4 linked regions of the Mytilus edulis genome follow. The protein of the gene in region 1 purifies or fractionates together with the protein of each later gene. This does not show direct contact. Links are inferred from orthologs where the notes say so. Each region holds a gene or a part of one and is shown on either strand. Other genes may lie near its edges.

Region 1 (7,212 bases):
AGTGTAAACAGTGTTCAGTTTATATGGATTAATTTTTCCAGTGGAATAAAAGAACACTTGTTCCTATATCACTGTTGTACATATTTTATCTATCCTAGGTACCAGGGCAAAAACAACAAAAAGCACTTTCATTATTCTGTAAAACTTAGGCTTCAGAGCAAACAAACTTAGATTTCCAAGGGGCATCACTCAGTAAAAACATTTGATCCGAAATGTATTTACAAATACATTTCTGATTTAAACTTTGAAATTTCTGGCAAGAATTGAACAAACACATTAGAGTGATAACATTTATATTTTCTACAGAATAAACATTTTTAGGGGCATAAATTGCTAATTTGAACCCAAGATATAAGTTTCATAAAAAGTTGGCATGAATGGTACATGTGAGAGCGCTAACAAAACATGACATCCAGAGAGTAATTCCACTTTGGCCTTGCATGTATTATGTGATGTTTAAATATGGCCAAGTTCTTGTCTGCGTAGCCACTCCTGTAGTTCACATAAGCAGAAAATTTATGTTTTTATAAAAACTCAGCAGAAATTCAGCCTGTGGCAGTCATCATTCTTTTAATGAATCAGCCTGTGAGCGTGAAGCAGAAAACAATAGGAACAATTCATTCTAAGGATGATTAAGTTTATTAGGATTATATCTAATTTCTCTAATTTAATAAAGTAGTAAGTCGTTGATCATCTAAAAGTAAACCCTCATCGAAGATAGCAGGTAAAGGAGAGCTGGCCCAGCACGTCTGTTCAGCTGTAATGACTGAGACGTGACTGTTGATGATGAATGGATTATCCCAAGAGGGATTGAAAGAAAAAGCTATGAAAAACCCTGTACTTACGTGGGTCATTTTCAAAAAATGATGAATTTTGAAATTGAAAAATTTATTAATACATTGTACATTGAAGTTATTTTTAAAAACAACCCACTACATAAGCAAATCAAAACAAACAGTACTTTAAGAACAACATATTAAAAGATGCAATCTTAATGTCAAACAAGAATATCTTGAAACATTTGTGATCGGTGGTACAATATTTTGTCTATCCTGTTACAATTTTCAAAAGAAATTTTAGGTTATTAAGAAAAGGTTTAGATAAAATGTTAAGCTTGTTTTATGTAGCCAATTAGATGGTTTTCAAGAGAATAAACTTCTATATATATATATTCATTCTGTAACAGGGGGGGATGCAGGAATTTTCGAAAGGGGGGGGGGGGGGGGGGGTGCTAACCCAGGGCACCCAGGGCAAAGGGGGGGTGCAAAACATATGTCCCGATACAAATGCATTGATCGGCAAAACTAAAGGGGGGGTGTGCACCCCCGGAACCCCCCCCCCTGGATCAGCCACTGCTGTAAAATAATAGATTATTTGCCAATTTTCCAGGTTGTACTGAAAAATACCTCTAAAAATTGGTTTTCAAAGGTTGTAAAAATTACCACCAGTAATGCAAGTCTAAGATAGCAATTTATATTGTTCAGCATTTTTTCACTCTTTTAAATAAACCCAACATCAGGTAAATTCCTCATAAGTAAGTTTACTTTTCTCTTTATTTCATTGGTAACAGGAACGTACGTTTCTGATATATCACTATATAAAGGTCTATCCTGTTAACCATATAAATATTGCACCTGCAAATGCTTAATTGGGAAGATAAAGACGTCTTTATAAACTTAAGATGAGTTCAAACAACGAAATATTTCTTTTGTTTTGCACCTATATCATGTATATGTTAAGATAAAAAAATAACGACGTTTTGTCTATCCTGTTACTGTAACCATAGCAACCACAGTAACAGGATAGACAAATTTCTTCGTTTTTGATTGCTGTTGTGAAATGACTACTCCCTTTAGTGAAGTGATTATGGTTTTCTATTGTGAATTTGGTTACCAACACATTATTGCACTTTTTAAAAGCATACTTTTGGTGTAGTTAATCAAAATTGTTGGTAACAGCATAGACATGAAAAAAAGTTCTCTTTTTTTTTCACTAAATGTCTTGAAATATCTTTTCTCTACACTGTCGTTCACGAAACGAGGCTATTTAAATGTAAAGATTACTTTGCACTTTTGAAATCAACACCGACTGATTCAATATTCATAGGGAGAATAATTTATTGACTGATTTAAGTAGCGGTAACAGGATAGACATGAACCTCCTGTATGCTGATTGAATTTAGTTTGTGGATAATATGTTACATACAATGATAAAGAAGCTACTATTTTTTCGTTAGAGTGATAATTAACGTTCTTTAAAAGTTCCTTTTGCAATTATCAAGGCGATCAGAAAATCAGAAATAAATCATTTAAAATGTGGTTTTCCGACACTGTACGCACACAAATACCCCCAAAATCGGACTTAAATGCAGTTTAATCTTATCAAAATAGATGTAAGGTGTGTTTATTATTAATGATCTGAATCACAAACCCGTCAAGCTTTCATTAGAGCCATTTCAACCGAAATTTCCATTAGAAATAAAAAAAATTAGCATGGGTGTACTGAAAATTCGACATTTTTTGAAAATGACCCATGTCCATAGGCATAAATAGAAAACTTTTTGGATGAAGAAAAACTATGCTAATAAGAAAACAATTTGAATAATATCATTTCTTTATTTTCAGAAATTAACTTTTAATCACGAAAATTATCATTTAACTTAATTTTATGAGCATAATGATAGTGGAATTTTCCACCACACTGCCGCTGAACAGTTTGAATTTTACGTCCCGAATCACATGACTAAGCAGGCTTCCGTTTGTTTTTGTTTGTATCTTCAAATATGGCTGCCTCCATGAGAGAAATTTCAAACGTGTTTAACGAAACTATGACAATGTTCAGAACATGACAATGAAACAACGAAATACAAAAACTTCCCCTAAAAACCAATTTTACCTCTTCTAATTCTTCTTCTGGCCAAACCCAACTTCTTGTGAGAAAGCATCAAAAATTGACTAACCGGTTGAAACTGGCAAAGAACCGCCATTCAGATTGGTTCTCGGTAAAATCCGTAATTTAAGTTTAGACAAATATTTCGATAAAAATAACGAAATAATAGTAAACTGGCAATTATTCAATAGTATATAAGAAATAATTATGACTAAATAAATTTTTAGTTGCAAAGTAAAAACTTCATTAACTCATTAATTAACGTAAACACATATTTTGTTAGCAACTTTTTGATTGGTTTGTACTCTCGCAGGGATAAAATACATTTTACTTTTAATTAAGAAATAACACATTTTTGAAAGTCGATAGATATATATTTAAAACATTTAGACAGTTGATAACTATAAAAGAAATTTCTTGTTCCCACTTTTGGGCAAAATACGGTGATATTTTCAAATGGAAAATTTTTATCATTTATCCAATCAAATATAGTTTCCCAAACGCAATATTTGACCTACTTTTACTTTCGATTTCAAAAATCGGTCACTCAATCAAAATGCAAGTAATAGCTTTTGTAAAAAGCTAGACTGACGATTGCTGTCTCAGTTCTTTTATCTAAGCCAAGTTTCGATCATATTTGAGACAGATTTGTAAATTCTAGTAAGACTTATAATGGACAATCAAGTACTACAAATTTGTTGAAATATAAAAAAATAAATGAGATTATTACTGACTTTTAACTTGATAATATCATAGACTTCATCACGGTATTAAAGATATAATTGTTTTAAAACAGTGTCAAAAAGTAGAATGTACAGTATAACAGTAGCGTTTTTTTTTCTATCCGAGCAACTACTTTTGAATCAGAATTAACAGACGACTGTCATTCTGAAATGTACTCTTTTTCTAAATATTTGTCTTGCTTTTTTCCGACGTAGTCGGTATAGTTTCGGTGTGTGTCCTTTGAACTTAAGGACGCTTAACTGTGGCAACAGAATACGCATGCTCGAAAATCCTTTTTGTGATTGGACAAAATGCTGTCATGGTGGGTGATTTGGTTGTTTTTGAAAAAACGTCTCGTTAATTATATCGTGATGGAAAGCAAGTGAAAAACTGTAAATATTTGAACTAGATCTTACAAAGATTTATATTTTTATTAAAATAATTGTTTCTCAAATAGCTCTTTCCATCCGTGACAGCTGTTTATTCGGGACAATTATATAATTTTTAATGTAAACTTTGTTGTACGAACGTACCGGCATGACTTTTAGAACGCACCTACGCATGTGAGATTTCCGCGGGGTTTTGGTGAACATGGTGAATGTAAACAGAAAGATACGATGACTGAGAATACTAAACACAAACAGAGAAAACGTTATTTAAATGGTATCTTTGTGCTTCTGAGGGTTATCAAAATGATAGTTTTAAACATATACTCAAATTTAAATACGTCGGATATCTTTTTTTAAAGATAGTTCTTGTTAGTAAATATTCTTACCAATTTTCACTTCAATGATTTAATGTGTTCTTGCTTTCCGATATTAAGATAACACAAGTTTAATTTGATGCCCTTCTATTCTGATGGCAGGTCTGTGGGTCGCAGAAAATGTCCCAACACGTTTAGAGCAGCACTCTGATCTGAGGCGACACCCCTTTTCCCAACTGGGAAGCTCTGATGATGAAGCACTTATTTGTGTTGTGAAGTTTTCTGTTTCTCAACAGTTCCTGTGTTCTGTCTCATTTTCTTTAGAATTGTATATAATAGACGAACGGACAGACACATTGGCGGATCCAGGGGGAGGGTTCCGGGGGTTGGAACCCCCCTTTTTTTTGACGATCAATGCATTTGAATAGGCACATATAGTTGGAACCCGGGACCCTTTGTCCCTGGTTGGGAACCCCGCCCCTGAGACATACAAACGGACGAGTTGAATGCAATTTACCCAAGATCACTATAAGGTTTAATAATAACATTTTGTAATGATTATTGACTGTCGTTTCGAACCGTGACATAGCATTCCTTAACTCAGGACGTTAGAACACTTTTGTTTCTGTATAATATTGGCCAGATTTTTTCATGTCTGTTTCTGTGATTAAATTTTTTAAATCTATCCTTAATTACGAGGCTTAGCTCTGAAACTCGAATTGGGTAGAGATTATAAATTGCAGTATCACAGTTTTTTTTTTATAAATCTAGTAAAAGGGGAAAGCGTCCACAGTTTACCATGTGTCTAAATGAATAAATGTTTCAAGTTGTTGTTTCTCATCATGTCTTCTTTTGAAAATTCTCCGATATAAAGATAATTTGAAAGACATTTTACTATTACCTTGAACTTGCACCTTTTGTTGAATCTAATGCATTACTTCAGGTATAGTTCGGGTTACCTTTAGATTGCTGTCATTATACTTTGCACTTTTTGTTGAATTTGATGTATTTCTTAAGGTATAGTTCGGGTTACTTTTGGATTGATGTCATGAATGTCATTACACTTTGCACTTTTTGTTAAATCTGATGTATTTCTTAAGGTATAGTACGGGTTACTTTTGGATTGCTGTCATTTTACTTTGATCCCATCATATACCGGAAGTTAAACAGATCAGTCCCAGTGCATCACTTTTCTTTAATAGTCTTTCTTGAAAAGAGGAATACAATTTGTCATGATAAAATTATCTAACTGACAGTAAAATACGGGGTCAGGGTGAAATGACCCCGCTTTTAATCTCTCTCGCACTCAATTGTTTCTATCGTCAATTGTATCTACGCTGCTGCCGAACTTCAATGACTTTTGTTTTAAAAGTTGTTTATGAATTTTCATAGATGGAATTCTTCCTGCTGCAAGTTTTATGTTTATCAGACTCGTGATTGTTTTCATCTTTGATCAACATAATTCCACATGCGCTAAGTTGGTGCTTCAGTGGAATTGAAGAAATCATACTTTTAATTTAGATTTTCTTTAATATTTCGAAAAGAAGAAGCCGAGTGGAAACGTGGAAACACAAATAAACCATTTATAGTGACTGTAACATTCCGATATATGAGAACAATAACACACGTGAAAATAAATCATATTACTAGTATTAAAAAATAGTAATTAAAGCAAACGGTTGCAATATGACACTATATGTATAACAGAAAAGACATCATATAAAGTTGTATAAGTTCTTCATCCTTGCTCCAGGTGGTCGAGTGCTCTAGCGCGTCGGGCACAGTGCACGGCGATTTGGTGCCACGATAGAATGAGTTCGAATCCCGGCGAGGGAAGAAAAACAAATTTGCGAAAGCAAATTAAAAGATCTAACATTGCTGGGTTGGTGTTTCGACGAATTATATATGCAAAATGTATTTTCAGCCTTGTATCACCATCACAGCTGGTGATCCGATGGATAAATCTGTTGTAGAGTTGCCACTGGTTCAGACGTACTTGTAATATACTTATTTCTATGACTGCATCCTGCATTATTTTGTAAGATCCTTTACGATAATTCAGCTGATCTGTAAAGATTCCATCTTCATGCCTTATTTATCATGTACTGTGTTACGATGCTAGATAAAAACTGACGAGGAATGGTAACGCCCGGCCACCGAAAGCTTTATTATTCATGGTAGAGCATAGTTGGTCGAGTGGTCTAGAGCGTCGGGCACAGTGCAAGGCGATTTGTTGCCAAGATATCTCAGTAGTATAAGTTTGAATCCTGGCGAGGCAAGAACAAAAATTTAGCGAAAGCATATTACAGATTTATCATTGTTGGACTGATGTTTAGACGATTTATCTATACAGAATGTATTTTCAGCCTTGTATCACCATCACTGCTGGTGATCAGTTGTATAAAATCTTCCGCAGAGTTGTCACTAGTTTAGACGTACTTATAATATAATTATTTTTGTGACTGCATCCTGCATTAGTTTGTAAGATTCTTCAGGATAGATCATTCAGCTGATCTGCAAAAATTCCATCTTCATGCCTTATATATGATTATCATGTACTGTGTTATGACGCCAGATAAAAACAGACGAGGAAAGGAAACATCTGGCCACCGAAAACTTTATTATTTTAGAGCCTAGGTGGTCGAGTGCACTGTGGTCCAGTGCGTCAGGCATAGTGCAAGGCGATTTGGTGCCACGATATCTTCGTAGCATGAGTTGGAATTCCGGCGAGGAAAAACAAGTTGCGAAAGAAAATTTACAGCTCTTTACATTGTTGGCCTGATGTTTGAACGAATTATATTTTCTTTAATGGTCTTCCTTGAAAGTCTGTATAAATCCAGCTTGTAGTATAAATCAAACTGGAAATACAATCATTCCATATACCAAATACGCTTTAA
Region 2 (7,565 bases), on another chromosome or scaffold:
TTATTATATAAGTCATCTGTATACAAAGTATGACACCTCCAGGTCTTCAACCTTCTAAAATATAAAGCTAAATACAATTGGTTAATGCTGCCATCGTAAGATTGTAAATTGTAGTCTCTATGTCTCCCAGTCACAGGCAATCTATGTCTCCCAGTCACAGGCAATCTATGTCTCCCAGTCACAGGCAATCTATGTCTCCCAGTCACAGGCAATCTATGTCTCCCAGTCACAGGCAATCTATGTCTCCCAGTCACAGGCAATCTATGTATCCCAGTCACAGGCAAGAAAAAAATTAACAGACGACGACAGATGCCAAGTGATGAGAAAACCTCACTTACAGAATGGAATAGGGATGACTACGGCTCAGCTGCTCGTGAACAAAACATAACTTTTACTGTCCATTTAGCTGGTCTACTACCATACCCTATCCCTGAATCAAATTGTAATATGCTAGTAACTGAAATACTCTAAATCAAAGATCTTAGTAATATTAACTTAGACTTTTTAGCAGAGTTTAATTTGATGTCGTAGATGCACTCATATCCTACATACATCCATATTGTATGTCCAGATCTAACCATATACAAAGTTTCATATAGATATAAGAACCATCATTGTAGGGAAGAGAATGAGATCTTAACCACATGCACATCTACACATTAAGATCTAATAATGTATCCATTTCCATGTAGATATTATAAACCATGATGGAAAAGTTGTTGAGTTTATAGGTAATGGACTGGGTCAAAATATTGTCATTGCAAAGAGACATCTCTAGAAAAACTAAATAGACAGAGCATCCTACCATCATAAGTATATAAAGATTTAACAATATAACAAGTTATGTGTAGATATTATTATACATATACCTGTTGGTGGTGTTGCAATCGTAATGTCAGGGGAAAAAGTTGAAAGGGCCATAACTCCTAAAAACCTCAATGGATAGGAAAATACTACCCACATGCACATCTCTATATACATGATATAAAGATCTAACAAATAATTAGTTTTCATGTAGACATAATAAACCATGCAGGAGTTGCTATGCCAATTTTCTGTCTGAAAAGGGGCATAATTCTAGGGAAACTAAACAGAATTGACAATCTTTTACCTGTTGATACATTGTTTTTGCATATCATAATAAATTATTCTAAAAAGTTAGAAGTGAATCAAAGGTCATAGAAGTTGGTCTGGACAAACAAACAGACAGACAAGCTGATTTCCATCAACCAATCCAATCTTTGTATAATAAATCTCTCAGTACAGACTGTTGGAGGAGGGGGGGATTTTTTTTTTAAATATTATGCAAATGATGAACTTTATTTGTCACAACTGTTTATTTTCTATATAATTTACATTCCATCTGAAAAAATGTTTTGGAAGTATGTCACTTATGAGGAGCAGAATACACATAATGTATTTTAATATTCATCATCCTATCCATGGACTTTCTCTGTTGACTTTCATCACAAATTCTATTTTTCTTTGCATGTCAGCATTGTATATCCTCTTGCATCTTTCATAACTAATACGTCTCCTCATTGTGGTTGGTTTTTCATAATATTTCTTTCTCCTAACTTGGTCAACAATTCCATCATTTCTCATAAATCTGGAAAAAAAAGTGTTTAAATTTTTATTACAGAGACTAGTTTAAAATTGAAATTATAGAATATTTATTCAAGTAATTTGCACTTACATAACTAGTCTAAGTTATTAACAGGTTTATATACTCACATAATACATTTGTCAAGGTTTGGTATTTGTTTATATAAAAAAGAAGAAAATGTGGTATGATTGCCAATGAGACAACTCTGCACAAGAGACAAAATGATACAGAAATTAACAACTAACGGTAACAGTACAGCATTCAACAATGAGCATTACCCTGCTTGGATGGCACCATTCTGGTATACATAGATAATAGCCTGTTAGTAACTTTAATTGATCATACCATCAGTCCATCACTGTCTGATACCATGTATATGTGATCCAAACATAATAATGAATTCTTGCTTGAAATTCAAATTCAAATCTTAGAAAATAGAGTTCTACTTTTTTTTATTTTGGGATTAAATTTTTATAGAGTACTTGAAAGAACATTATACTTTCAGAATGACGCATTTTCTTTAACATTAATTATTTAAACTTCTGTTGTGTACAGATAAACTTTCCAGTGATCAAAACTATAAAGTAAAAGGAATCATCTTATCTAAATAAAAATAGTGCTAAATCCCAAATATATTCGTGTGGCTGTTCTAAGTTTCTGGTTGTTTTTCTTTGAAACTAATATTCCTGGTTTTGTGCTAATTTGAAGTTATTGAAGGGCAGATGTTTGATATGTCACTCTGATCATATTATCCGCAACATTTTTATACGACCGCAAAAATTAAAAAAAATTTTGGTCATATATTGGTATGACTTTGGCGTCGTCGTCTGAAGACATTTGGTTTTCGCACTATAACTTTAGTATAAGTAAATAGAAATCTATGAAATTTAAACACAAGGTTTATGACCACAAAAGGAAGATTGGGATTGATTTTGGGAGTTTTGGTCCCAACAGTTTAGAAATTAGGGGCCCAAATAAGCATTTTCTTGTTTTTTGAACAATAACTTTAGTATAAGTAAATAGAAATCTATGAAATTTAAACACAAGGTTTATGACCACAAAAGGTTGGAATTGATTTTGGTAGTTTTGGTCCCAACAGTTTAGGAATTAGGGGCCAAAAGGGTCCAAAATTAACTTTGTGTTTGATTTCATCAAAAATTATTGGGGTTCTTTGATATATGCCAAATCTAACCATGTATTTAGATTCTTATTTTTTGGTCCCGTTTTCAAATTGGTCTACATTAAGGTCCAAAGGGTCCAAAATAAAACTTATTTAGATTTTTCACAAAAATTGAATTGTTGGGATTCTTTGATATGCTGAATCTAAACATGTACATAGATTTTTTTTATTATGGGCCCAGTTTTCAAGTTGTTCCAAATCGGGGTCCAAAATTAATCTTGTTTGATTTCAACAAAAATTGAATATATGGGGTTCTTCAATAAGCTGAATCTAACCATGTATTTAGATGTTTAATATTTGGGCCAGTTTATCAAATTGGTACACATTGAGGTCTAAAGGGTCCAAAATTGAATTCTTGGGGTTCTTTGATATGCTGAATCTAACCATGTTTTCAGATTTTGGATATTGGACCATAATAGGTAAATGTCCAATTTAAAAAATTTAAGTTTTTAAGTTTCTCTTAGACCACATTCATTCTGTGTCAGAAACCTATGTTGTATCAACTATTTAATCACAATCCAAATTCAGAACTGTATCAAGCTTGAATGTTGTGTCCATACTTGCCCCAACTGTTCAGGGTTTCGACCTCTGCTGTCGTATAAAGCTACGCCCTGTAGAGCATCTGGTTATACCTAGGTGCCTATTTGGACCATGATATATTGTATAAGACACCTTATGTTCATGTTCATAAATTTTATATGTACATTTTGTAACTTTTCATATGGTTGATTCTCAGTATTTTTAAAATTTGATTCAATATCCCAAACTTCACTTCCATATACATGATATTCATGTAATAAAATTGGGAGTACCATTGTATCAAAAAGTTTTTCTAAAATTCTACATGAATTGTTAAGACTTAGAGATTTCTGTATTTTGAATAGAGCTTTTTTAGCTTTTACTATCAATAAATTAGAGGCAAGCTGCAAGGTTAATAAATTTAATGATAGATCATGAACAGCACATGCTGCTACACTGCAGAGGTTACTCCAGTATTAGAGAGACTTTTGTATTAAAAATGTTCAAAATTACAGGAAAAAATATAACCACATTGTGCGATAAAAATAAAATAAATCTTATACTTTATAATATATCACTAATATACGGCACTTAATTAACTATCTTCCTCTTTCTTACTAGTAATTATCTATTGCAATAGATTTTCATTATACCTTTAATGTTTTATTCACATATAATGTTTGTAATTTACTACATGTACCATGTATATACCTTATCGCTAATCCCGGCTGACCCGGCCGCTTGAACTTTTGACGCATACAACAATCACTTTTCCATTGTGGCGTCAGATATTTGTTTTATGATGTCAAAATTTTACGGGAACCTGTGTGATATCCAGCAATGGCGGAAAAATAGCGATAAGGTGTATTGTAAATAGTTTATCCATTGGGTCATTACCATCATGATTATGAAACAGGTAAAACTTGAAACATTTTCTGTTTTAAAAGGAAAATAATGTTATTTTATCATAAATTTTATACGGAAATAATTTCCCAATTTGGGTGAAAATTCCCAATTTTGATAGAAAAGGGACCCATTTGAAAATACCTGGAATCATACCCGAAGATACATTTCTCAAGGACGTACTACGATTTATGATTGTCAATCTTTAAAAAAAAAGACCATGTAAGTAATTATAATATAATACCTCATCAATGCATTGTGGGCTTGTTCTACGTTATTTTTGTGAACAAAAACGGTTCTTGCCAAGAATTTTGCATTTCTATGGCATGACATTTTGTCAATGAATGGTCTCCCTTGTTCTATGGTCACTTATGCGTTTAAAGTAACGCGATTTGCATTAGAAATGTAAGAACATTTGTACACCGATTAAGATTTCGAGCCAAATCAAAAAGAAAGTATGAAAATAGCATGTTTTGCTTTCCTTTACAGAAAAGGAAGGCTTTTAATTTAAAAGTGTAGAAAAGAGTTGGAATACAATGAATGAACATACGTCTTCGTCCCCTGCGATTTTGAGGATTTTTCACTACACATAATTTATTTAAAACATTTTTTTTAGACGAGGAACAAATTATCTTTCTGTTTGCCACTTGCTATTTGTTTTTAATTAGTATTCTTCTACTTATACATTGTAATGACCACCTTCAACACGTTGAAATTTATTATTATATTGATATTTTGGGAGGCGACTTTCCTGATATGGAACTTGCGCCCTATTTACACTTATCGTGATTGTTTTTTGGAGAAAAAAGAAAAAAAAAGTCTTAGTGTTTCGTGTTTTGTTTACTACACGTGAGTTCTTAAGTTGTGAGGTTTTTTTTCAAAGTCTTTAATGTATTGTGGTTTTACTTTTGTAAAAAAATGTTTATTTTGTCGTTCTTGCTTTTGTTTCGTTGCATTGCTAATTACATAGTTGATTGCTTTGATATATAAGGTAGTAGTTGCTAATAAATATACACAAGTGTATAAATGAATCTTAATGTCCATCGCTGAAGATAGAGATTATATACTGCTTCCCGATAGCCCGGTGTCAATTATTTAATGAAAAATTGCCAAAAATATGTATGCGCCAGAAAAAAAGACTGTCGCATACTTCTGTCACCTACATTGGGGTTAATAAAAGAAACAAAATATTATATATGAAATTCCCACAGATACCAAGAGACCAGTTTGAGTCATGGTCCCTTTGTTCAGTGAGGATTGTCGTGGTCTTTGTATTGACCCCGACTGCCCTCACTGACCATGAGACCACTGAATAATCAATCTGGTAATCAAATTTTGAACTGTATCCCATTATTGACACCGTGACTTCGGGAACACGTTGAAGTATATGTCACTTGTACTTTTATAGCTAATATTTTAATTGTCTATAGTCGAGATTACTCTGACGTCCAACGCCTGTTTTGCCAGACAAGCTGGGGCCGTGGGACGTCAGAGCTCATCCCATATCAAAAAGTCTTATAGATAAACGTCATGTTTTTCCTGTTTAAATGGTTTTGCACAAGTCATTTTGGGGCCCTTTATAGCTTACTGTTCGGTTTGAGCCAATGCTCTGTGTTGAAGACTGTACTTTCCCCTTTTATGGTTTTTCTTTTACAAATTGTGACTTGGATTGAGTGTTGTCTCATTGGCACTCATACATGTACCACATCTTCTTATATCTATGTTCTAGTTCTTTTCTTTTTGTTGAAATAAATCAGAAAGAAGAGAGTATCAGTATTTCTGTGACGTGAATGCCAATTTTCACTTGGGAAAAATACAAATCCTGATAAATAGAGGCTTGTCAGTTTGCCCCACTTATGAAAAATAGAAAAGTCCTTATGAATTAAGTCAATGAAAATCTAGGTTTTATCTTTTTGCATTAAGTGGGGCAATTAACGGGATTTAACCCTTTTCACAAGTGGGACCAGTTTGTAAATCAGTTTGGGTTGATTTTTTTAAAAGTGGGGCGAGTTTGTAAACAATGGGGAGATTTGGTGTGGGGCGATTTGATGTGGGGCGATTAGCAAGATGGGCGATTTGTCCTGCTTCCATCCATACCATCAAAGACAATTACTTCTGAAGCAAAATATACATGTGTTATTTGTAAAAACAACACTTAACCCTATATTTTCATCTAATTGATTACTTCAAGGGTGTTATTCATCTGTCTGTATCGATACAAAAGATAGAAGTCCTGGATAAACACATACCGGTACATGAATTTAAAACTTCCCTATTACTCTATAAAACCCTTAAAAAAATTCTAAAGATAACCCTGAAACGACAGGTACATGTAAGTAATTATGAAAATAACCAAAATAGTATCTAATATGCATGTCATCATTTAAAGCAAGCACTTTACTTTACCTGTTGATAATTAGCAGTTTATCATTATGATTCACATGCAGCAAAATTATAAATCAATATAACAAGGTGACATGATCTTGTATGATCCCAAAATAAATTAATTATTTGAAGATTTCTTGGTAATTCATTGTCATTACCTTGAGGAATCATTTTAGAAATTTGAAAATACAATGTTACATGTACAAATGCATTCTTTAATTGAAAAATCTTTCATGTAATGCACCAGAATATTATTTATAACATCCAATTTTTACTATTTGATAAATGATATTACATCAATAAAGGGTTTATCCCTTATATAAATAGTGATCCTAACTGATGATTGTCTAGGTGGTCATACTTATGGGGGCTTTCTTTTATTATCTTATACTGCAACAATTGTTTTACCGAAATAACCTGGAATTTTTAAAGACAGAAATGAGAATCAGATGCTATGATATCAGTCAATCGGCAAGATTTAACAATTCTCAAAATTCTTTGGCGACTAAAATCACCATTTTGCTGGCTAGATTATGGCCTGCTATCCATAAAAAGGATAGATCAGAAAAAAAATTAGAAGATGTTAAGCAATATATAGTGGTTATCTTAGAGTGGTATAATCAGACTTTTTAGGCACAAATAAGAAATACTAGCTGGTTTTACTTGTATTGATTCTAAACTCCATTTGCACATAAATCTCAACGTCATAAGTAGCATGACGTTACTATACATACATAGCGGTACCGCGAACGTCTAATGAACACAGTCCTGAACATCCTGGGGGGCCGCGAATGAAAATTTAAGCAATAAATAAAGAAAAAACTTTAAAATGAAATAACTATTGTCTCTCAAATGAAATAAAACTTTAACTTTTAACACTTAAACAGTCTCTATGCTTTACGGAACGGTTGAATCCAACTTTTGATTTTCTCCTTGGCATCAGTTTTTGCTTTTCTGGTTGAAGTAATAGTG
Region 3 (7,199 bases), on another chromosome or scaffold:
TACCCAATAAAGTCAACTAAATAAATTATCAAAACAAATCTAAACCTTGACTAGCTTTAAGAACTGGTAGAACATGTAAAATAATCATTCAAAAATATATGTCACTCATTCCCTTAAGTATTTAAAGAACCTCAAAATAGAATATACATTGCTGCAATGTGAATATGATTTAGGGAAATCTAATAAGAATTATACCAAAAAATATTATATACTTATCCTATTTCATTAGCGAAACAATTATGAAATTTACGAGATTTGAAGTAATTGATAATTTCGAGGCCGTGAGATAAATATACAAGTATGTAATTTCTTCATCCCTTGATGTACAACAAATAGTCAAATAACCTGAGAATTACAATAAATTTTATCCACTTAGTAAATCTGATTAAAAACAGAATAAATTTCCCTCCAGATAGAGAATATTTATAAAAATCAATATCTAGGTTGTGCTTGATCAATCCATCGGCAGAAAATTTTAGCTTGTTTTATTATTTGTCGCTGAACGTAAAAAATCAATGATTGTATTTCAATCAATTTGGTATAACTTAATTTAGGAATCTTCACTAAATCATGTTGTTCAGTATTAGGAGTATTTTTACAACTGATCAATATTTACATTGTTATAAAAGCAATGATCATTGATTTTAAGACAAGAAATGAGATATTATAAACTTCTTTGTCTCCGCTGGGATTACCTACATGTACAATTATACTTGATCATTTATCCTGTTTTATTTTAAATCTGATTTCTATTTTCGATCATACCTTTCATCTATCAGCTGTTCCAAAAACTTTTGGTGAAGGATGAGGGGCACTTTAATTGAATATAGGTGGTTGCATTTTCTTTTTGAATTTTGTCAGACTTATTAAATTAAATGTGTTACACTATTGGTGGTTGATGTCTTTAGAAAGTGTCTCCTATGCACTCTATGTGTAAAGCTTTGAAATACAAACAAGACACTCTTATCATGTTGTATTGTGTTGTGTGGTTACTTTCGACATGTTCGATGATGATGGGGGTTTTGAACGACCTTGACTGGCTAAAAAGCCCTGGCATGGTCAGTTGTATCACTGTCTTTTAAATTCAATTCAGAGTCTTTTATTTGAATTATTTCAAAACACAAACAAAATGTATTTCTATTTCATTGGTGTAACATAGTCTCATAGATGTATATACCCAACTCTTTTTATTCCTATAAAGACCTTATAATATATATAATAATATAAAGTCATAAGAGTTTAACAATTTTATTCAGATTTAGCCTAATCAATCTATTGTAACAAAAAACATATAAATCTATGTAACTAAATCAAAATATTAATTTTCAAAATAATGGCCTGTGGTTTTCCTTAAAAAGATAGATTAGTGCATACCAGTAACCAGGGGAGTTCAGGGGGTTCAAATAATGACTGTTAAAGTCAACGTTCTGTTCGAGTTGTGACTGTTAAAGTCGAGTTTTTTAGGCCCCTTTGGAAATTCCTGGCTACGGGCCTGTTAGTGCATGGCTAAATCCACCACTATGATATGAAATTTGATTGAAATTTAAAGCCATGAATCTGAAAATTTCACTATGATTTATGTATTGTTTTTCTTTGATTTTCTCATTTTTAAAACATTGTACAGTACAAATACAAATTGTAAGATGATTTACTTACAACTTTGTAACAATTATATCATATAAATGACAAAAGAAAAGAAGTATGTGGGTCAGTGTTCATGAAGGAGTAACCACCAGACAAAATATTTTCCCCCTTACATCTCATCATTATTCAAACTGGATGCACATACATTTGATTTTAAAAAAAATGTAAACATGGGAGATAACTCAATAATAAATGCCTAAAGTATTTTTAATTACTTTTTAATATAAACAATTTTTCAAAACCTTATTATATATTTCATGTATTTGCAAATGCACTTACAAGCATATTTTTTTTCTTTTCAAATCCATAATCAAAGAAAACAATTAATTTATGAAAAGAACAACTCAAAAAGTATAAAATGTATATTGGATTAAAGTTTTTTTTTTGGTGTGTTGGGGGGGGGGGGGGTATCTTGAGAAAGGGTTGCACAGGGGTGTTAACAATAGATTTCCAAAAAATAATATAATTAGATAGAAAACTGAAAAAAAGCAATAAAACAGTTTCAATATTTTTAAGTTGGGAAAACAAGGCCAAGGGTACATAAAAAGGATGTTGATCTTTATTAATTTTCTGTTAGAGTTGCAGTAGATGATCCTGAACTTACAATAAGGGGCCCAATGAAAATATAAATACAATGAGAAAAGTGTACTTATAACACATTTGGTTAAACATTAAAGTCCTCTCCTGGATCCATCTATTATACTTTTTAACAGGAAATAACTTTGTGAGTTATAAGTGATTTTTATACTGTGCAATGACAATTCATAGCTCCTTAGAACTTTTATCTTATACATTAGCATAGATGCCAACCCCCTTTTGACACAATCAGTAACAAACTATCAAATTTTCCGTATTTTTGAAAAGTTTTCAGTAATCATTCATAAACGTGCATTTACCAATAAAAATTACTGACGAGTGGTTGCAAAGTAATGTACACTAAAATTTGTCATTTAACATGTTGTCTGTAGTATGTATTCCATTCATTAATTGTTCAGATGTTCTCGACTCAAACATTTTTGTTTTGTCAAGGAGAAGTAGAGAAAGCGGGAAAGCTACTTAATAAAATGCAAGTTTGCCTCTTCGGAAGTCAGTTAGTTACCCAACAATAGGTTGATAACTCCCAAGAAACCGGAAGCATTACATTGGCGTTTCCTAAATACTGGACCAGGACGGAAAAGTAATGATAAAAATCCGCGTTTTACAAAATTGAACGTCGATGATTGGGAATCCATAACTATTCGACTTTGACCGTAATAGCGTAGTTTTTATCGCAAAATCGGAAAAACTACGGAAAAATCGTAATGGTTGGCATCTATGCATTAGACAAATGAAACCCAAAACTATTTTTGTGTTATTGTTTTTGTTTTGTTTTGTATAAATTTACTCCATGTATCAACTTAATCCTTGTATGTTTAATTATTATGTATTCTTCTCTGTACCTTTGCTAATTGTTTTTTTAGAGAATAAAATACATATCTATTAATTTCTATTTATTTGTTGCAGCACTGATTAACTCCAAAGATTGTACATGTATTTGTCTTTTCATTCATAGAAAACAAAGCAAAACTTTTACATATATATCATGCACATGCAACTCCTTTTATTTCTCTCTATATATAAATAAAAATGTTTGTTTATCAAAAAAATAGAAATATAAGGTATTTATAAATTTACCAAACATAAATCTTTATTGTCCTGTTAATGGTACACTATGCCCAATCATGATATGAATGATAAAAGTCTTCTGAAAGATAATTTATACTCACCTAATATCTGTCTTAGTGGTGTATTGGAAATGATCAAAACATGACAATGAATATAACTGTTTATTTTAATGAAGTTATCACAGGTGACATTAAACAATACTGGGACTAATCTGGTTACCAAATTTGTAATACACAAGCTAATGACTTCCAATACACATGTATCAGTTGTGGATGCTGAGAAGACTAAGTCATAAAACTTTTCAAACTTTCACTGAAGCGTAAAGAGTTTGTTACACTGTTTAAAACTTTGGAATTTATAATAAACTTGTCATTTAAAACTTTATTATCAGCTGCTGTTTCGGTACTGACACAAAGAAATACACTAATCAGTCAGCCATATTGATTTTTTAGATAATACACATTTTATTGATGATATTGGGAAATTGGAAAACAGCTGACATTTTGTTACTGCATTATTTTTGATTGGGGTTTGAATAATACATGAAACCTCCGTCACCTTAAGATATGATAAATAATGTTAATGAAGATGGACATACCTGTAGTTCCTGTAAATCAAACTCTTTCCAATATTGTACCATTGACTGCAAGCTCGCAGCCATCTTGAACGGGATTAAGCCCAATCAATTGATCACATGACCCACTTAGAATCGAAAATAATCTCAAAACTGTTTACATTTTAATTTCTAGAAACAAAAGTTGTCAACATTCATGATTAAACTATTTTTAACAAATACATATTTATGATCATAAAAAGGTAGTTTATTATCGTTGATAGCATTTCTTTGTAGAAATGAAACCGATATTTTCTTCTGTTCCGAGGCTTTACACAGGGAAAATGGCGGGTGTTGACAGTTGGCGCACATGTTTAAATAACCAGAAATTTGTCAAAAATCTTGCAGAAAACAATTCTAAAGACTCAAAACAAAAACTTAGAAATTTAGCTAAAAGTTTATTTGTTGTATATGACAGCGATTTATATGTATGGGACTCGTACGCATGTCACATTGTCTATTTTAATCTGAAGCAGTTGCTTTTGGAAGATAAGGAAAAACAAGAAAGATTTCAGGTATAAAATGCATCTATCTGACAGTTATCGTGCATGCAAACCGTGAATAAATGAGTTGTCACTTAAAAACAAGGGATATTGGGATGTTTACTTGTTTTAATTTGGCATATGTTATTATTTGTTGTCCTTTTATGAAAATGAAAGTAGAAAACGAAAGTAGATTTTTTTGTTTATAAACTTCTATACAATAAAGAAGACAACTGATTGGCTTCTGTGTTTTTATACTTGGGATGAATATAATAAGTAAGTTATACAAAACATCATTTATATTTTTCATCATTCACTTTCACACAATACAAATTGTTTCCTGGTACTTTTGTCTTCCTCATATGTAATTTCTCATACATGTAATACTTAATAATTGTAATGGTGGAAGATCAAGATCTCTAGACGGCTTGCCAGTTCTTGGAATCAACTTATTTATACTTTGTTATAAAAATGAGAATGGAAATGGGGAATGTTAAAGACGCAACAACCCGACCATAGAACAGACAACAGCAGAAGGTCATCCACTTTTCTTCACACATTCTGGCCATTTAATTGCATTATTGGTCAGCATCTGTTGTAGATTCAGATTCAATATTTTATTAAAGTCTCACTCTATGTGTTGTATAAATTTCATTGCAAATGATGCCTGTACTTACTTGCTACTAATTAGATAAACAGCCTCTAAGATTTGGAACTCACATCCCTAAAGGTATTTTAAGGTCTTTCTTTCTGCAACAGAAAGCAAGACCGAGTCCTGGGTTTGAATGACATAGAAATTTTATATGTTCATGCTAATGTCAAAGAATTACTGAAATAAATATGGGATGAGACTTATTGCCTATATGGTTTGCTTTCTTGCATCTCATATTGAAGAAATAAAGTTTTTCAAACCCAAGTAAATTCAAGTCAAGAAAACTCGGGTCAATTCAAACCCAATATCCCCAAGCCAATCTGGTCCAATATTTTTATTCTAAAATTGCTCTGAATGTATGGATGTATGGATAGAGTTCTATTTACTTAAGTTATTGGCCTCATTGGGTTTGGACTGGAATAACATGATTTTAAAATTCAAAGCATGGTGGTAAAAAAGGTTATTGTGATAGTGCTATTTTCAATCCCTGTGCCATGCTTAAACATATTTTGGTAGAGACAGTAGAAAGGTACAAGTACATGATGCAGGTAAGCCTTTCCTTTTTCTTTTCTTTTTGGGAAAGGGAAATTGAAATGTCAGATGTTTGTTTAGTCCTGTGACATGCCTATCTGATTAGAAAAAAACTTCTTCAAAACAGGACAATAATGATTTTGAGTAGGCAGCTGTTTTCTTGGTAGGCAGGTTAAGAGCAAACAAACATATTCTTTTTTATGCCCCACCTACGATAGTAGAAGGGCATTATGTTTTCTGGTCTGTGCATTCGTTCATCCTACCGTTCGTCCGTCCGTCCGTCTATCTCGCTTCAGGTTAAGGTTTTTGGTCAAGGTAGTTTGATGAAGTTGAAGTCCAATGGACTTCAAACTTAGTATACATGTTCCCTATGATATAACCTTTTTAATTTTAATGCCAAATTAGAGGGTTTACCCCAAATTCACGGTCCACTGAACATAGAAAATGATAGTGCGAGTGGGGCATTCGTGTACTGGGGACACATTCTTATTTTTTAATGGCCCTGGCTAGTGTAAATTTACTTTTTAAATTTAAAAGATTAAAGGCTTTTAGACACTCTTGTCTACTTGACCTATGTACATCTAAATGAACTAAAAATGATTTGTTGAATTCTATTTACAGACACTGTTATGTACTGATGCACCAAGGTTTGATGTGGAATGTTTGATTTTCAACAGAACTGGGAATTATCTAGCAGTATGGGGTCAGACTGGTATTACTGTGATAGAGTTGCCACGGAGATGGGGAAAATACAATGATTATGAAGGTGGAAAGCAGTGTGTTCAGTGCAAGTAGGTCAAAAGAGAAACACCAGTGGTTTATAACAACAGTAACAGAGTTTGTAATACCCCTATTTTGAAGGAGGGGTATACTTGTAAACCTCCATCTGTCCTTCTCATAACATAATTTACATTTATTTGCAGTTTTCGCAATCAAGCTTTCGTAAGCGTTATTCTTATTATCAAGGTTCTTACATTTTTTTACATTTATAAACTTCCTTTTTACTAAATACTTATATACTCTAACATATGATTAGCATGAAATTTATTCATGAATTACAAATCAGAGCCTCCTGAAATCTGGTTGCCAGCTTCAAAACTGACCAATAATCATGCAATGATATAACAAAGCTGGCCTTGTCATAGCAAATTGAAATTTGAATAAAAACCAATAGACTTTAGTGACTTGCTATTGTTTTTCCTTACACATATTTAAAATATTTGTGTATTATATATATATATTATATTAAAACTTGTTTATTTGCAGATCTTTGAATGTTGCTGAGCATTATTTTGCTGGCCATAATGGAGTACGTCTGCTAACAGTATTGTGGCACCCTGGGAGTGAGACGGACAGCCATATTGCTTTTCTGACATCAGACAACACATTAAGGTTTATTGATGGACTTCTTTCTCATTCATAATTTAAAACATAGCGTAACCTGCCTAATCTGACACCTGAGTATTCCAACAACCTGCTATAACCGGTGCATTTTCATGGTCCCAAAATATGTCTATCCTTGCAGATAAATACCTGTCAGTGAGTATTCTGACACCCTGCTTAATCTGATATTTTGTTCAGGTCACCCAGTGTGTCGGATTAAACAGGTTTC
Region 4 (7,898 bases), on another chromosome or scaffold:
TTTAGTATATATATAATGTAAAGACAACAGGGGATCCTGAAGACCGTCCAGGGGATCCTGTAGAACGCCCTTTAGTATATACTTGATTAACAAACAATAGGGGATCCTATAGAACGTCTTATAGTAGATAAATAACGTTGAGAAAACAGGTGATCCTTTAGAACGCCTTATATTATAATATGAAAAACAATCAACAGGGGGTCTTATAGAACATCCTATAGTACATATATTATTTTGAAAAACAGAGATTCCTGCAGACCACCCATAGTTTCCTGCAGACCGCCCAAGGGATCATATAGAAAACCCTATAGTATAAACATGAAAACAATCAACAGGGGGTCTTACGAACGTCCTATAGTATATATATAATGTAAAGACAACAGGTATCCCGTAGACTGCCCAAGGGATCCTGTAGAACGCCCTTTAGTATATACATGATTAACAAACAATAGGGGATCCTAAATAACGTCCTATGATATATATATAATGTTGAGAAAACAGGGGCTCCTGCAGACCGCCCAAGGGATCATAAACGCCCTATAATATATACGTAATAAACAAAGAACAGGGAACCTATTAAATTTCCTATCTCAGATGCATATTTTTTTTAACAAAAGGGGATTCTGTAGGCCGCCCAGGGGATCCGGTATAACGCCCTTAGTATATAAATAATAAACAAACAATATAGGGGATCCTATAGAACGTCCTATAGTAGATATAAAATGTAAAGACAACAGGGGATCCTGTAGACCGCCCAGGGGATCCTGTAGAACGTCCTATAGTAGATATATAATGTAAAGACAACAGGGGATCCTGTAGAACGCCCTATAGTATAAACATGAAAAACAATCAACAGGGGGTCTTATAGAACGTCCTTTAGTAGATATATAATGTTCAGACAACAAGGGATCCTGAAGACCGCCCAAAGGATCCTGTAAAACATCCTTTAGTATATATTTGATTAACAAACAATAGAGTATCCTATAGAACGTTCTATAGTTTATATATAATGTTCATACAACAGGGGATCCTATAGACTGCCCAGGTGATCCTGTAGAACGTCCTTTGGTATATACATGATAAACAAACAATATGGGAGATCCTAAAGAACGTTCTATAGTAAAAATATAAGGTTCAGACAACAGGGGATCATGTAGACCGCCCAGAAGATCCTGTAGAACGCCCTAATAGAACATGTAGCTTCATTATAAACAATTAACAGGGGAAACGAAGACCAGCACCCCACCCCACCACCACTACCACCACCCCCTCACACCCCGTAAAGGAAATGTCTCATGTCTAAGAACGTGTAAGCTACATGTTTTTTTTCAATTTGCCTACATCAAAGTACTCTATTAAGCAGATAATAAAAATATTATTAACTCCATAGTATATTCAAAGCCATGGGATCACGTGCATGGGACATTTGCAAGTCTTTACAACATAATTAAGGCACCACTACTGTGTGTCATATATATGTGAAATATCATATATATCTTAAAAGGAATATGTATTTGCTTAATGAGGGCACAATGATATATGCTACTGTAATGCGGAACATTTTCCTATTTAAGACACCATTTCACGTTGAACGTGAAATAATTTCTGTCATGAACGTTGCACAAAAAATAAAGACTTGAAGGTGAACCTTTTGTGACTGAGTCACTGTCCTCTTGTATATATGAACTCTCTGTTTTACTTAACATTCCCTATTTAGTGTGTACACATTTATGATATAAATGATTTACAGCTTTTAAAAAAGTATATAAAGATATTCTGAACTTTTAAAATGCAAATAAAGGAACATCATTGGCCTTGCCGCCTTATCATTTCACGGAAACAAAATTAAATCAATTTGTAGAGAGCCGTGGTGTTTTGGTTAGTGCATCGGACTAATAACACTTAAGGTTCCTGGTTCGATTCCCGTTTGGGATGAAATTTTTCAGGAACTCAATTTTCGGCTCTCCCTCGACACCATTTGCGAGTATGGTCTTGAGGAAACGATGATAGTCCGTCGGAAGGGGACGATAAATGGCTGACCCGTGTTAAGAGAGAGCCATATCTCTTGCACGTTAAAGACACCCTTGTAGATTTCGAAAAAGAGTAGGCTTATGCTTACGCTACAAGGCAGAACTCACAGCCGCAAAGTGGAAAGGGACTAATATAAGTTGCAAAACTTGTTTCCCAATCCACTATAAATAAATATGTTTAAACATAAATCAATTTCGTTCCTGACCATGTTGACGATCCCTGTCTGGTGTTTGATTTTTTTTTTTTTTTTTTGAAAAATACTGAGCACGCAAAATAAGCATTTGAATCACGAAGCACGTATAAAAATTACATAAGAAGAACAAGTTGAACACCTAGCTGTTTTGCACGACTGAACGTGTAATAAAAAAGTAAAAACACGTTGAACGTGAAATAAAAAAACGCGATCACGTTCCACGAAAATAACCCTTTACCACTCTCCATGAAAGTTAATGATTTTGCATCGTTTTTTTTTGAAGATAGTTTTACATGTTAAGAAAATTCTATTTTTAGCATTAGTATTTACCGAATCGTTTTAAAATAGCCTATAAATAGAATATGCATAATTCACGAATCGTGACGTAGGGCGGTCTACGGGATCCCTTCTTCCGCTTACCAACCAAAACCTTAAACTAAAACCAGTTTTTCTGTAACAAATACGCCTTAAAATAAAAAAATAAAAATCAGGACGAACAGGTATCAGGGCGAACGGTCTCAGGGCGAAACGGAACTAGGGCGAACAGTAACTAGGGCGAACCGAAATCAGGGCGGACGGACCCGGATTCATAAATAACAATGGGAAGATGGCCATAATTTTCACCAAACCCATTTTTGCAATAAAGCCTATACTTAGGGTGTGCATTAATCGTACCATAATGAAAATTGCCGACATCTGGGTCGTAAAAATATGCAATATTTGGGTTTGACATTTTGCATTCTTCTTTTTCTACATATCATTTATTTATCTTCTTTACCAAAGAGGTTAGCATTTGATTTGACTCATTACCGAAGAGTAACGTCGTAACATAGACAACCACGTACAAGAATTATTTGACATGAGGCTAATTTTACGGAGGGTTTGTAGAGTTAAGTAACTTAAGACTATGTAAAAAGGATTTTTATAAGTAGACTATTTAATTTTACCAATGAGCAGGTAGATAAAAAAAAATCGATATAATTATTTTGGAAAAAAACATTACGGTATTTACGACAGCCAAGGATTTGTACATATCTAACTATACAAATCCTTGCGACAGCTAAGCATATATATATTAACCTACATGAGCTAAGCAACATTTTCACTATATTGCTGTTTCCGGTAAAATAGCACTTGAAATTCTATAGAAATAGGCTATTTTAAATTGTCGGCTTGCATTAAGACATTTTAATCAGAGCCGGCAAAATAGCCACTGCCTTAAAAAAGGCCATGTCATTAAAACAGATTATGCATGTTTCAGTAGAATAGCTGACAGACGGCTGCGAACTGAGTTAAGTTGACTATACGGATAGACACTGGTGGTCAATATTTTGTCTAATTTCAATGGTTGTGAGTTAGAAACGACCATTTAACTATAAAAAAAAGAAGTTTTTCTGATCCCCTCTGATTTGATGAAACAAAATATTGTTGTCAAGCAGATGACAAAGAAAAATATTCTGAATTCAGATTTTCTCCACACCATAGAGTGGAAAATAAAAAAAAAATATGTGTAGTGTCGAGAAACTAAAACAAATATTTCTGACTCAGATAAAAATAATAGTATCTGACCCCCCTCCCCACACTTTTGAAGTTAAATGTTTGTTCAACTTATGAATTATCTTTTATCTATTGGTTTGTCTAAGTGGTAAAAATACGGCATTGTATAAAAAGAAAGGAAAATGTTGAATTAAAAAATAAAGATGTCTCTTTTTAAATACCATTGCATGATTTCAATATAAAGCTAACATAAAAACTTAAAATAGAATTACTATTCTCTTTTGATTCTTTATCATTTTAACTTTATCTACTGAGGCAAGTTTTCCTGTGACCTTTTTCATGCTACGTTTTTTGGGGATTTTTTCTGTGAATTTTCATAAACTAGATATGCATGATCTCTTTCTTATATGGTCATGCTATTACGACGGAATCGGGACCGTCAATAAAGCATTACAAAAAGCCTCAAAGAGTAAGGAAGTGTGTTGAATATAATGATTGTATAAATTGATACCCACAAGGTGACAGATAATGCGTGTTTTAGATTGAAACTAGTTGATTCTAAATTTTGTCAAATATTGTGACTGATGCACGACTTCTTTGTTGTAGAGTTGGTCGGCTTGGTTTTATCAAGTATAACACGAACTGCACTTTGGTAGCTGTATTGATTAAAAGTATAAAGTTCTCAACCATTTTGATGTTTTTCATTTGTTGCTTCTGCAAGAGACCCCAGACAATATAATTTTGCCACCACCCTTCATTCTCTTTTATCCGATAGCCAATGTTACAAAATTGTCTATTTGGATATTGAAGAGTTTACATGATTTGTTTTTAAAAAATCAACAATTCACGTAATGTTTTAAAATAAAATAGTATTCAACATGTCACTTTTGAAGACAATTTATTACAAGATTTTGAGTTTTTGAATTTTAATATTAGTTTAATTTTGTATCCATGGACATCTATGACCTGGGTGATAATATATTGGTGGTATAAAAGTCCCAGCTTTAGCCAAAATAGATTAGTTTGTCCTGAAACAAAAATATAGATTTAATGACGTTTTATTAACACTGATTCCATTAGAATTTGGATGTGCACTGATTGATATTTTGGTCTTAGAACCATAGAACTCTTTTTGTCAGAAAACACTGTCAACCATCCAAACACAATCCACACTGATCTGTGCCCACACTTGTTTAGTCTTCGAAATATGTATGTTATTGGATGTTATCTTAATATCCAAGAAAAAAAGAACAAAAGAACATATTCAAACACAAAACGTTTTACATAGATCTACACTGTCGATACCACTACTAGTGGACAATAATTTCCAGTCAAGGTTTCGGCATTAGTCATGTTAGTTAGTCATTTTGTTTATCCTTTTATTGGTTTAACTTAATTTGTACTTCTTCGAGAATGTGACTCATACTAGAACGACATGAAGTTTTAATATATGTACTATCAACTACACATTTAATATATGTACTATCAACTACACACAATTATTTTGTTGGCGTCTTTGTCAGATTTAATACTATCAGTTATATCAACTTTTTTTGTTGGCGTCTCATTTTAGATTTTTTTTATGTTTGTTTAATTAATTGTTGTCAGTTGTGTTGTTTGCCTGTGGTGAATGTTTATACAGTGTTGATTTATTGTTGTCAGTTGTGTTGTTTGTCTGTGGTGAATGTTTACACAGTGTTGATTTATTGTTGTCAGTTGTGTTGTTTATCTGTGGTGAATGTTTACACAGTGTTGATTTATTGTTGTCAGTAGTGTTGTTTGTCTGTGGTGAATGTTTACACAGTGATGATTTATTGATGACAGTAGTGTTGTTTGTCTGTGGTGAATGTTTACACAGTGATGATTTATTGATGACAGTTGTGTTGTTTGTCTGTGGTGAATGTTTACACAGTGTTTATTTATTGTTGTCAGTTGTGTTGTTTGTCTGTGGTGAATGTTTACACAGTGTTGATTTATTGTTTTTAGTTGTGTTGTTTGTCTGTGGTGAATGTTTACACAGTGTTGATTTATTGTTTTTAGTTGTGTTGTTTGTCTGTGGTGAACGTTTACACAGTGTTGATTTATTGTTGTCAGTTGTGTTGTTTGTCTGTGGTGAATGTTTACACAGTGTTGATTTATTGTTGTCAGTTGTGCTATTTGTCTGTGGTGAATGTTTACGCAGTGTTTGATGCTGGATCCCAATTATTGTCATGTTAACCAATTATGTCTGTTTTAGTTACTCATAAAAAAAGAAGATGTGGTATGATTGCCAATGAAACAACTGTCCACAAGAGACCAAACTGACACGTAAATATAACCGAACTATTAACAACTGTAATACGAGTTGCCAGCCAAGAGGTTGGTTTATCTAGCTATAAAACCAGATTTTACCCACTGTTTGTTAACGAAAATCAGAAATAAAATAGTTGTTTTCCAAATCGTTCCAATGGTGATAAATACTAACGTTTGATGTCGTCAGGTTTTATGGGCTTCACCATTTTTAATTTAATTGGAGTTCGGTAATTTTTTACTAATATGTTTTTGACGATACATTTTTGGGTTGAATTCTCGAGTGGGTCGTGACGTATTAGCCCGATTTATTGAATTCTGGGAAAAAATAAAATCTGTTTAACTCTTATAGCTTATCGACAATATACGTAATTAAAAGCGCACAGCTGACGAATGGTCGAAGTTATTAACCACAATATAAGAATGAACGAACATGAATATGCATATACCGTTTTGTATTGATTGAATTAAACTCCTATAAAATTATCTCTAGTAAATGTTTTTGAATAAATTTAATTAATTATTGTTGAGATTTTTTTCATAAAATATTTATTGAACATTTTTACTGATATTGAACTGAAAATATTTCAGTTCTATTTACCGTTATTGTTTTGATAATCATTTCAATGCAACTAATGTGTGAGCAGAGTGTTTATATTATTTTGTATAGGTCACTGTATATTCTCGGCTTGAGGTCAATTCGTTTACCTTGTAGCTATTTAGCCGCAGGTGTGAGTTCAAGCGTACACAGGTATAAATGTTGTTATTTGGAAAGGATATACAGAAAGGATTAGAAAGAGTATGATGTCACGATGTTAATACAATAATGAAACTAATTGTTGTTTATTGTTATTTCATTTCCTTAGTCAAGAATTCATCATAGAGACAATTTGGACCAATGAGATCTGCACCTTCTAAATCAAAACATTTGATTAAAGTTGGGAGTTAATTATCTAAAATTCAATTGAATTTAACAACTACTACAATATATTTTAGAATTTTAATTATGTACAACTGAACGGCAGGCTAAGACCATTCTCAATTTTTTGTGACAGTATTCTCAAGAAAGTGAGGACTGAAAAATCTATTCAGTTTTAATTATTCATTGATTAAGTTCCCAGTTACAACTCTCATCACAGGGATCATGTACTTATAAAATCAAATATGATTGATATAAGCTGTGTGAAGTTTGTTTCCAGATCCCACATTTTGATATATCTGTAAAATTCATGAATAGATAGCTTTTAAACTACATAAAGCAATATTTAAAAAAATTTAAAAAAAAAATGACCACTACAATAATTATGTTGGTTTTTTTTAATTGATGACTTATCATATATATACTTAATGTGACATTTTTAGTGTTCATGTACATTAAAGGGAAATTCCGCGATTTTTTACTTATCATCTAATTATGTTCATCTTAACATAAAAAACACATTTGCAAAGTTTTAAATTTATATTCCTTCTAATAACGGAGAAAATCAAGTATTTGTAACTTTTTTTGTTGAATTCTCGAGTGGGTCGTGACGTATTAGCCCGATTTATTGAATTCTGGGAAAAAATAAAATCTGTTTAACTCTTATAGCTTATCGACAATATACGTAATTAAAAGCGCACAGCTGACGAATGGTCGTAGTTATTAACCACAATATAATAATGAACGAAAATGAATATGCATATACCGTTTTGTATTCATTGAATTAAACTCCTATAAAATTATATGTCTCTGTCTCTAGTGAATGTTTTTGAATAAATTTAATTAATTATTGTTGAGATTTTATTCATAAAATATTTATTGAACATTTTTACTATTTACTTGTCTATTTACCGTTATTGTTTTGATAATCATTACAATGCAACTAATGTGTGAGCAGAGTGTGTATAT

What was found.
Region 2: the proteins of exportin-1-like (region 1) and nuclear pore glycoprotein p62-like purify together in Homo sapiens (affinity purification with western blotting; 4 studies listed by BioGRID and IntAct, with this or other methods). This does not show direct contact. The link is inferred for Mytilus edulis from reciprocal best matches to the Homo sapiens genes XPO1 and NUP62.
Region 3: the proteins of exportin-1-like (region 1) and nucleoporin 88-like purify together in Homo sapiens (affinity purification with mass spectrometry; 3 studies listed by BioGRID and IntAct, with this or other methods). This does not show direct contact. The link is inferred for Mytilus edulis from reciprocal best matches to the Homo sapiens genes XPO1 and NUP88.
Region 4: the proteins of exportin-1-like (region 1) and histone deacetylase 3-like purify together in Homo sapiens (affinity purification with western blotting; 3 studies listed by BioGRID, with this or other methods). This does not show direct contact. The link is inferred for Mytilus edulis from reciprocal best matches to the Homo sapiens genes XPO1 and HDAC3.

Annotation. Positions count from the first base shown.
Region 1 is NC_092346.1:57,078,437-57,085,648, forward strand, and holds the start of exportin-1-like, read right to left. Parts: upstream 3,004-7,212; 5' UTR 2,896-3,003; intron 1-2,895. UniProt on the Homo sapiens protein: Mediates the nuclear export of cellular proteins (cargos) bearing a leucine-rich nuclear export signal (NES) and of RNAs.
Region 2 is NC_092344.1:96,295,695-96,303,259, forward strand, and holds the start of nuclear pore glycoprotein p62-like, read left to right. Parts: upstream 1-4,564; 5' UTR 4,565-4,663; exon of another isoform or gene 4,664-5,057; intron 5,058-7,483; coding exon of another isoform or gene 7,484-7,565. Other genes in the region: small ribosomal subunit protein bS21m-like, read right to left, coding at 1,432-1,609, 4,453-4,541; uncharacterized protein, read right to left, coding at 7,484-7,565. UniProt on the Homo sapiens protein: Essential component of the nuclear pore complex. The N-terminal is probably involved in nucleocytoplasmic transport.
Region 3 is NC_092349.1:12,622,295-12,629,493, reverse strand, and holds the start of nucleoporin 88-like, read left to right. Parts: upstream 1-4,187; 5' UTR 4,188-4,206; coding exon 4,207-4,437; intron 4,438-6,208; coding exon 6,209-6,378; intron 6,379-6,853; coding exon 6,854-6,979; intron 6,980-7,199. Other genes in the region: homeobox protein cut-like 1, read right to left, coding at 3,908-3,970. UniProt on the Homo sapiens protein: Component of nuclear pore complex.
Region 4 is NC_092344.1:34,970,742-34,978,639, reverse strand, and holds the start of histone deacetylase 3-like, read right to left. Parts: upstream 3,008-7,898; 5' UTR 2,958-3,007; coding exon 2,900-2,957; intron 1-2,899. UniProt on the Homo sapiens protein: Histone deacetylase that catalyzes the deacetylation of lysine residues on the N-terminal part of the core histones (H2A, H2B, H3 and H4), and some other non-histone substrates.